Sus scrofa: one gene and its partners. The protein of the gene in region 1 interacts with the protein of each later gene in a pairwise test. Links are inferred from orthologs where the notes say so. Each region holds a gene or a part of one and is shown on either strand. Other genes may lie near its edges.

Region 1 (3,534 bases):
TTTTCTGATCTATAAAATGGAGATAACATCACCTCCTAGAAATGATGGTTAGGTACTGACTTAACAGATTAAAAGTACTTAGCATAGTGTCTGATAAAATTATATAAATGCATAGTTTTCAAAAGCTGATCCTGAAACTAGCTTAGCACTCTGGCTTAGGGATGGTAAGGCAGTAAATATTCTTTCAGTTATCAATCTTACCTCTTGCTTCATCCTTTAATCTCTGTACAGAGACCAACAAAGATTCCTTTTCATCAAGTTCACTTTCTAAAAATGCATTTCGTTCAATGGCCTGATTTAGCCTTTGTTCAAAGTCTTCCAGTGAAACTATCGTTGCCCTAAAAAAAAAAAAAGTACAGAGTCCAAGAATTTAATAAGTAACATGCAAAGAGATAATACAGAAGGAAGCTGTCAGTTTTATCTCACGCCATTTCCCAGCCTAGAAAGCCTGGCCCAGTGGGAAGAATGACCTCATCCCTTCTGACCTCTGGTACATTTAGGGTCTCGACTCTCATTTGGGGCCATTCAATATATCCTTTTCGTAAATTCCTATCTAAATCCCTTAAAGTTTTTTAAAGGAAGGCCACTTATACAATTTACATCTGCCCACTGGATTTTAAACACAATATAACCAAGCTTACACATTTTCAGGAAGAAAACCTTGCAACAGTTTTACAGTGCATAAAAATTAACCAAGACTGTGTATAAGGGAGTTCCCGTCGTGGCTCCGTGGTTAACGAATCCGACTAGGAACCATGAGGTTGAGGGTTTGATTCCTGGCCTTGCTCAGTGGGTTAAGGATCTGGCGTTGCCATGAGCTGTCATGTAGGTCAAAAGACGAGGCTCGGATCCTGCGTTGCTGTGGCTCTGGCGTAGGCCAGTGGCTATAGCTCTAATTGGACCCCTAGCCTGGGAACCTCCATGTGCCGCGGGAGCGGCCCAAGAAATGGCGAAAAGATTAAAAAAAAAAAAAAAAAGTATGTGTTTAAAACACAAAGTCCCAGACCCCACTGCATCTACTTTCTTCCTACCAACCCTTTTCTTCTTCCTGCATTTCTCGTCTTCCTCATTTATTCAACAAACACTGACAAGCACCTACTATGCACCCTCTACCCACTATGTACTATCTGCCACAGAAATAAAATTCCCTAACCTCAAGTCAGAACTCCCAATGCCAGGTCCAGTTTCATCAAGTCCTGTCAATTGCCAAAACGTCTCCCAGTTTCATCTGCTCTCCTTCAACCTTCTGCCCCTGGCTTAACCTTGACCCATCACCAGCATTAATCCTAAATGGTCTTCACATCTCCTCCTCCCTGCTTCCAATTCCTCAGTATTATCTTCTCAAATCACAATCTGAAAATATTCCTCTGTTTAAAAAAAAAATTTTTTTTTTTTGTTTAAACATTCTTAAAGAGCAACCCTTGGCCTACAGAATGAATGACTTTCAAACACAGCCAAGCACAAGGTTGGTTCTTCCTAACTTGGCCCCAAATACCTTCAGTGTCATCTCGTTCAGCCAGCCTGTCTCTATACACTTCCAAGTGAAATATTAACACCTCATGCACTTTCCTGCCTCCACATCTCTCTCTTCACCTGGTTGAAATCTATTCCTCCTTGCAGCATCAGTTTCCCTAGTTACCACAGGGTAGTTCATCTGCTCCCTTCTCTATGCCCTGGAGCAGCTTGTACATTCTTTGTACTAGTGTTTATCACACGGAATGCTCTTGCGTGTCACGCCCAAGGGCAGTGGCGAGTTCATCTTGGTATTCTCAACTCTAACATCATGCCAAGCATTTAAGAGTCACTCAAATACTAAGGAAAGAAATCCCAGACAGTAATTGTAAAGTAAAAGGAATTACGTTTGGAATGGTTAAGAAACAACTCATTATAGATACATAAAATCTTGGCAAAGTAACAGCAAGCAACTACAGGCTATTCAGCAAAATCATCATAAAAGCATTATTTTGAAAGAAAAAATTCATTGGTATTAAAAGAAGAGAATAAAAAGGAGTGAATTTTTAAAAACAGATTGGCTAGGAAGTAACTGCAGAATTCAGCTATACAACGAGAGGACCTACAAAAAGTGTGGTAGTCGTGACAACACAGAGGGAAGACAGAGAAGGGAACGAGACACGTTTTAAACAAAGACCAAGCAGAGCCAACAATGGTACATAAAGGAAGGAAAAAGTCAAAACGGAAAGAAAAGCCTGGAAGGGCATCATCTGGGGAGATGAGGATTTTTGCTAAGTTGCAATGCAACGAACGAGGTACAGGGGGCATGAAAGATGGCAAGGAAATGCTGTGGGCCGGAGAGCCAGGTGACAGGTTGAGACGATTCCGACCGCCAGCTCCAGTGAGTCTAACAAAACGCACCTCCCGGACTTACCTTTTCGCCCGCTCCAGGTCGTCGTTGGCCTGCTCCAGCTCTCTCACATACTTATGCAACTGCTCCTTAATGGCCCGAGTCTGGCTTAAATCATCTTCTAATACGGAGACCTGCTTGTAGCTCTGTGCATATTGATGTTCTAATTTCTCCTGAAGGAGTGAGTGTAAGAAGCAAAGTACACATCACAAACATATATTTTTCTCTAATAAAAGATGTAACCCAACTAAGCTGCAGGGTCAGGGGGGATCCAAGGCATTCACCCATAATCTGAGTTGATAATACCCCTCTCTTCTTAAAATAGTTTAGAACAGTAACACATTCAGATCCAAGTGCCTCAACTCATCAAATCAGTCAAGCCTTCTCCTCTCAAAGATATCTAATAATGATCTCTCTGAAAAGAGGTAAAAATACTGAAAGGTATTGCCTCCAAAACCTCAATCTTGGTGAGGGAACCTTAGGTTCTTGGCGGAATGCAGCCCAGGATGAGCACAAAGAAGTGACTGACAAGTGCAAACTGGCTCCCTCTCGCCAGCCCATCCCCACTTCCTCAAACCCACCCCACGCCCTGACACAGCAACACCCAAGCATGTGGCTTCGGCATGTGATCCAGAGCAGCCAAAGGGGTTCATCATTTTACTCCTGAAAATTACTTGTTAGAAGGGAGTATCTAAAAACCAAACGCAACTCCAAAACTAAAGGGACTATGAACCATAATGACATAAATGTGTACTTCACACAAATATGCTTTTAAAGTACCACAGAATGAGGCAATCTGTCAAAACAAGTCATCAGGCAACTTTTGAAAATCATAGGCACTACAGCATAATATTACAGCAAGGAACATTATAGCTTAAGAAACTGACAGCTACAGAGTTTCTAAGTGAACTCCTGAACTCTAAACCACCTATCCCTTGGTTCCATCAAAGTAAACAATTTGTGTCAAAAATTCACTTTCGGTCTTTTTATATTTTCATGTTGCCTGCTTCGGCTCTTAAACTCTACCTGAAAAAGACGTACTTCTCATTTTAATAAAACCCAGCACATGAGACACTGGCTTCTACCTAGCACAATTACCTTTAATGCTTCCACTTCATACTTCAGTCTTTGGTTATCAGCTTGCAAGTCTCTATTTCTTTGTTCAGCCTGTA
Region 2 (3,417 bases), on another chromosome or scaffold:
GGGTTAAGGATCTGGCATTGTCACTGCTGTGGCTCAGGTCGTTGCTGTGGTGCAGGTTTGATCCCTGGCCTAGGAGCTTCTGCATGCTGTAGGTGCGGTCAAAAAAAGAAAAAAATAATAATTAAATTTATAATAATAAAATTAAAACTTGTGTATTAAACAATTTATTTGTACCAAGTAAACACATAAAACTGTGTTAATAGCAACCTACCTAGTAAGCGATATTACATAAAATCATGTTTTTTTCCATAACAGCTTTGTCCACATTGCCCTACATATTTCCCAATATTATTATTATTATTATTATTATCATTATTGGGAAACACAAGTATTCTATAAGTCCTATATAATAAGTATGTGAGTAACTTGCTATTTAACAAGCTCAGTGGCAAAACATTAACATTCATAGTTCAAAATTCTATTCTAAAGTTTAAAAAGATCCTGAAGAAGCCAGTGCTTTTTTGCTTCTTAAAACTTTGCAGGAACATGTGCATTTTTGCATTTGACTTTGAGTACATGATTTGTGGAGTCCACTCTTGCTTACCTAGATTTGGGCAACTGCACCAGTTATTCTATGAGCTATGTTTAGCTCCACTCTCTGGGGTGATGAGATACTATGATTTAGAAAATAGGAAGAATAAAAAACCGGCCTGGCAATGGGACGGAAGCAGGTCCAGCCCTGGTAACCAAATAAATGTGAACACAATGAAGAAGGTGCTGGCGTTGCTCAAAAGAAACCTGGATTCATTTGCCTTGCTTTAGAAGTCTTTTATCACATGGGACAACTTTGGTTTCTTTTGTCAACTAAGAACAGTCTTCTCAGAGTGCCCCTTGAGGCTCAACAGGTTAAGAACCCGTCATAGTGCCTGTGAGGGTGCGGGTTTGAGCCCTGGCCTCACTCAGTGGATTAAGGATCTGGTGCTGCTGCGAGCTGCAGTGTAGGTCGCAGATGCGGCTCAGATCCGGTGTTCCTGTTGTTGAGGCTCCAATTCCACCCCTAGCCCAGGAATTTCCACAGCCTAGGGGCGGCCCTAAACAAAAGGGGAAAAAAAAAAACCAGTCATCTCTTAGAAACCTATTGATTTTCTGAGAAATGGTATGGGAGGTGAAGCTGTGAAAGGCGATTCATATCCTGTTTAGAAAAGAAAAATGAGATGAGGGGAAAACTCAGTGGCACTGAGTAATTTATAAAACTGTAAATAAATATTACAGAGGGCAGCCACTTCTAAAACAGACCAGGTTCACCGGCATTAAAATTCCGCCCCAAGAGGAGGTAACTACCTTAAGTTCAACTGTTCAGGAAAAAACAGCTTCAATGCTATGAACTTCTATGGAGAAACCTCTCACGCATTTTCTTTTATACAGATTTGTATCTTTCAAAATTTTGTACCAACCACACTAGACTGAGATTTCATGTCGGCAAAACCTGTACTCTTGTTGACATGATTTTCACAAATCTTGGTACGGTTCTCATGGAGGTTAAGGCCGAAGTTGTCTGGGCCTAGTTCTTCTATTTATATGTTAAAACCAAAAGAGATCTGCTCTCTCCCAGCAGTGGCCCTACATGCTTTATATCAGTGAGCAGTCCTTACTAAGTTATTTTTTTATGTAAGGACAATAAAAAGCTTGCAGATTTTATAATTTTGATCCAAACCTGTCTAGTTTCAAAGAAAGTGGCAAAACTGCAGTTATCAAAGAATAATTAAATGAGAAATTATAATAAAAAGAATACAGTTTTAAAATTTTTAAAGAGACAAGAGTTCCCGTCATGGCTCAGCAGAAACAGATCCGACTAGGAACCATGAGGTTTCGGGTTCGATCCGTGGCCTCGCTCAGTGGGTCAAGGATCCGACGTTGCTGTGAGCTGTAGTGTAGGTTGCAGACATGGCTCGGATCTGGCATTGCTGTGGCTGTGGCGTAGGCTGGAGGCTACAGCTCCGATTTGACCCCTAGCCTGGGAACCTCCATATGCCTTGGGGGTGGCTGTAAAAAGAAAAAAAAAAAAAAAAATAGTACCAAAGTTAAAAAAATAAATAAAATAAAATAAAATAAAAATTTTAAAGAGACTAAGAAACTCAGCAGGCATGACAAAATACTTTGAGTAATCAAAGTCTAGGCACCCTGTTTTCTTAAACTATTCTTCTTTCCTGATACATAAAGTTTCCTAGGCATTTTTAAAGTCTTAAGGATTACGTCTTTTCCAAGATAAGTGAATATACATTGGGGTCAATTCATTTTGTTTCCTACTAAAAAAGGCTAATGCCGACACTAAGGCCATTAAGACAATTGTCATCAGACCCTAATTCACCTTGTCTCCTAACACTTTTCAGACATCTTGAAAGTGAAGGTACTTCCTTGCATCTCTCGAAAAAGCAGGCAATTCTTTACTACCCTCAAGGAAACAGGTGGACTTCATATTCCTACTTTTTCTAGAACACCAAAGGGACTTCTTTCCTGACAGTTTTTGAAATTCCTATTTCTTCATAATATTCTCACAGACTAAAAACTAGAGGAAAAAACTACGTGGACAAAATATAGACTCACACATTGCTTTAAAAGAAAAAAACAATTAAACGAAATCCAATTGTAAGAAAAACTGAACATGTTTTTACTCTGAAAAATGTTCTCGCAATTTAGAATGACAGACTTTTCCAATACCAAATTAATTAGGTCCAAACAAAAAATCACTGGCGTTATTGTCAAAAATTATTATTTAAAAATATATTTTAACCATACAGTGTTGACTTAGCTCTGATGTTTTCATACCACGTTCTCTGCAGACAACTTTCTGAGAATTCAGTGAGGAGCTATTCACTTATACACCACACGTACCTTTCGATGGCCTCAACACTGAGGCAAAACAAGTCTCTCTTGTAGTCTAGGTTCTTGGGTGTGCATCTGTACACGTAGCCAAGGCTGAGTGAACATCCTGCACAGTACAGAGCCTCCAGGATGCTGCAACAAGAAACACCAGTGCTTTAGCAAGTGATTGGAACAAAAATCCCATTGCTGAGATCCATAAATGTTTCAATTCTAAAATATGTTATTTTGACCCTACTAAGTCATGTGTATAAAGGAGGAAAAAATGATAGTAAGATGTTTACATTAGAAATATATTCCCAGGAGTTCCCTTTGTGGCTCAGCGCTTAACGAACCTGACTAGGAACCATGAGCATGCAGGTTCGATCCCTGGCCTTGCTCAGCGGGTTAAGGATCCGGCGTTGCTGTGAGCTGTGGTATAGGTTGCAGAGAAGGCTCGGATCCTGTGTTGCTATGGCTGTGGTAGAGGCTGGCAGCTGTAGCTCCAATTCAATCCCTTGCCTGGGAACTTCTATGCCACAGGTGAGGCCCTAAAAAGAAAGAAAAAAGAAAGAAATATATTCCTTTGGGGAGGGAAGGATTAGGAGTTTGGGATTA
Region 3 (3,534 bases), on another chromosome or scaffold:
TCCATGAGGATGCAGGTTTGACCCCTGGCTTTGCTAAGTGGGTTAAGGATCTGGTGTTGCCATGAGCTGTAGTATAGGTAACAGAGATGGCTTGGATCTGGCATTGCTGTGGTTGTGGTGTAGGCTAGCAGCTATAGCTCCAATTTGACCCCTAGCCTGGGAACCTCCTATATGAGGATCTTAAAAAACAAAACAAAACAAACAAACAAAAAAAAAAAACAGGAAAATTTAAATATACAAATGCAGAAAAGGGCTTTAGTTTGTGTGAAAAACTTATGTAGTAACTTGAATGCTGGGACCGAATGTTGTTTCTTGAGTAACAAGGTACTCGTATGTAAGTACTGATGAAATGTTGATTAGAATTGAGAATGACAGTAGCAGGAACAGTCAGTTCAGGCGCTGGGGTTAAGGATTTTCTGCTGTCAACAAGGAAAGCAACATAGGACTGTCCTTCAATTTTGACACTCGACATCTGCTAGGTTTAAAATTCAAAAGTTGAAAAATAAATTGTTTTTCTTGACATCATGTTAATGGCTGGACATACAATTTTTTTTCCTGAATCCGCAGCATGCAGAATTTCCAGAGCCAGGGATCGAAGCTGCACCACAGCAGTGACCCTAGCCACAGAAGTGACAATGTTGGATCCTAAATCCAATGAGCCACCAGAGAATTTCTGTACATACTATTTAATAAGCCAACATTTCTCCATTAAAAAACCTAGGTATATTACCTATTATCTCCCTTAAACATTTTTAAAGCTGTTTTTAAAAAGCCTTTTCAGAGCACTAAATTCTGAATTAGCTATCATACTTCCTCTTCCTATAAAAACAAATCTTTTGAGGTTCATGAAGTACTAATATTAAATTAACGAACAAATATTAATTATGCCATGTTCTAGATTTTGACCATATCTTTTATGCAACTTTACAATTAAATTATTTCATAAAGTACCTTCACATGATCCTTTCACTTAATCTTCACAACACCCTATGAGGTAGGCATTATGTCAGTATTTGACTGACAGAGAAACTGAGACTTAGAGGATAATTCAATAACATCGCAGAGCTAGTAAGAAAAAGGACACAAACCTTGGTTTTCTGATTCCAAATCTAATGTTCTTAAGTTGTCCTCAAACAGCAGATTCTTGCCCATGGAATTCCATGTTTGATATGCCTTAATCACAGAGGTCTACACAGACTCTCTGTAGCAGTAATACTACCTATAAAATGTACTCTATCTATCTATATATATATATTTCAAAAATGTCCACTTTTTAATACAAAGATATTTTTGCTATCATTTACAATGACATTATACATCTTATAAAACATAATCCAATTTCTTGGAATCTTTAATTGCTCCAAGGTCCTTTTCTAGGGTCATAATAAATGGTCTAGAATAGAGTATCTTTTAACTACAATTTATGTTTTTAAGTCTTGAAAGTCTAGATTAACTTTCTTCCTCATGTAACATACTTGTCTATAAAAGGGTCATGATTTTTCTCCTTATAAAACTCATATGCTACCCTTTATCCAACAGTTACCCAAGTAGGCAGGGATTCTATTCCATTTTACAAATACTAGATTTTCTGAATCTCTGTCTTAGACTCATGGGCATTGTGGAACCAAGAGAATTCCTCCATAGAATGGATTTTCTGTTGAAGATGAACATTTGAAGCCTGAGAGAATTCTTTTTCAGACTCATCGCATTCACAGTTTTTTTCATCTGTATGAGTTTTTTGATGTACACTAAGGTTTTTTCTTTGCCTAAAAACTTTACTACAATCATTACAGCCATATGGTTTCTCCCCTGTGTGTATTCTCTGGTGGCCAACTAAATTCCTCTTAGAAGTAAAAGATTTTCTACACTTTTCACACTCATATGGTTTTTCCCCAGTATGCATTCTTTGATGTACAACAAGATTTTTATTCTGACTGAAGTCTTTTCCACACTCATTACATTTATAAGGTTTCTCTCCGGTATGGATTCTTTGATGGACCATAAGATTTCTACTAGAGGTAAGGACTTTTCTACATATATGACATTCATAGGTCTTTTCCCCACTGTGAATTCTTTGATGTTCAATAAGATTTCTGTTGTAAGTAAAGCCTTTCCCACACTCATTACATGCATAGGGCTTCTCACCAGTGTGGATTCTCTGATGGGCTATAAGGTTTGAGCGGTAACTGAAGACCTTCCCACAGTCATTGCATTTATAAGATTTTTCCCTTGTGTGAATCCTCTGATGTCCAATGAGGCTTTTTTTCAGAATGAAGCATTTGCCACACTCATTACACTCATAGGGTTTCTCACCACTGTGGATTCTCTTATGCTCAATGAGGTTTCTGTTAGAACTGAAAGCCCTTCCACACTCACTGCATTCAAAGGGCTTTTCCCCGGTGTGGATTCTCCGATGTACGAGCAGGCTTGAATTATAACTGAAAGCCTTTCCACAATCCTCACATTTGTAGGCTTTCTCCTGTGTATGGAGTTTCTGATGGACCATGAAACTTTTGCTCATGATGAAAGTTTTTCCACACTCTTGACACTCATAGGGCTTTTCCCCATTGTGAAGTCTTTCATGGTCAATGAGGTTTCTGTTAGAACCAAAGACCTTGCCACAGTCTTTACATTCATAGAGATTCTCTCCAGTGTGGAACCTTTGATGTAAAATGAGGCTCTTTTTCAGAATGAAAACTTTCCCACATTCATTACATTCATAGGGCTTCTCCCCATTATGGAGTCTCTGGTGGTCAAAAAGGTAAGCACTCTGAGTGAAGGCTTTCCCACATTCAGTACATTTATAAGGCTTCTCTCTGCTATGCATCCTCTTATGGTCAATGAGATTTGACTTGGAAGTGAAAATCTTCCCACATTTTTTACAACCAAAGGTCTTCTTTTCTGTGTGAACTCTCTGGTGTAAGAGGAGGCTTTTGCTTCGAATGAAAACTTTCCCACATTCTTTACATTTATATGGGTTCTCTGCACTGTGCAGCCGCTGATGGTCAACAAGGTAAGTGGTCTGGGCAAAGGTTTTTCCACATTCGTCACATTTATAGGGTTTTTCCCCAGAGTGGATTCTCTGGTGCAGAATGAGACTCTTCTTCAGGATGAAAGCTTTCTGACACTTGTTACATTTATAAGGTTCTTCACCTTTGTGGAGCCTCTGGTGGTCAATGAGGTATGCATTTTGAGAGAAAACTTTTCCACACTCGTTGCATTTATAAGGTCTCTCCCCAGAATGGCGCCTTAGATGTATAATAAGGCCTGAGTGCCTATAGAAGCCCTTTCCACACTCCTTACACTTATAAGGTTTCTCCCCAGTGTGGATTCTCTGATGGTTTAGAAGGTAAGCACTTTGAGAGAAAGCTTTCCCACATTCATTACATTTATAAGGTTTCTCCCCAGAATGGTTCCGTAAATGCATTAGAAGGCTTGAGCGCTGAATAAAGCCTTTTCCACACTCCTTACATTTATGAGGTTTCTCCCCAGTGTGTATTCTCCGATGGTTTATAAGATGGGAGATTTTATTGA

The links.
Region 2: the proteins of NDEL1 (region 1) and MIS18A interact in binary tests that used the Homo sapiens proteins (3 or more experiments, as listed by UniProt). The link is inferred for Sus scrofa from reciprocal best matches to the Homo sapiens genes NDEL1 and MIS18A.
Region 3: the proteins of NDEL1 (region 1) and ZNF197 interact in a two-hybrid assay, tested with the Homo sapiens proteins (2 studies listed by BioGRID and IntAct). The link is inferred for Sus scrofa from reciprocal best matches to the Homo sapiens genes NDEL1 and ZNF197.

Annotation. Positions count from the first base shown.
Region 1 is NC_010454.4:53,615,280-53,618,813, reverse strand, and holds part of NDEL1 (nuclear distribution protein nudE-like 1), read right to left. Parts: coding exon 3,461-3,534; intron 2,536-3,460; coding exon 2,387-2,535; intron 339-2,386; coding exon 202-338; intron 1-201. UniProt on the Homo sapiens protein: Required for organization of the cellular microtubule array and microtubule anchoring at the centrosome. May regulate microtubule organization at least in part by targeting the microtubule severing protein KATNA1 to the centrosome.
Region 2 is NC_010455.5:195,914,901-195,918,317, forward strand, and holds part of MIS18A (protein Mis18-alpha), read right to left. Parts: intron 2,956-3,417; coding exon 2,833-2,955; intron 1-2,832. UniProt on the Homo sapiens protein: Required for recruitment of CENPA to centromeres and normal chromosome segregation during mitosis.
Region 3 is NC_010455.5:27,895,966-27,899,499, reverse strand, and holds part of ZNF197 (zinc finger protein 197), read right to left. Parts: coding exon 1,580-3,534; 3' UTR 1-1,579. UniProt on the Homo sapiens protein: May be involved in transcriptional regulation.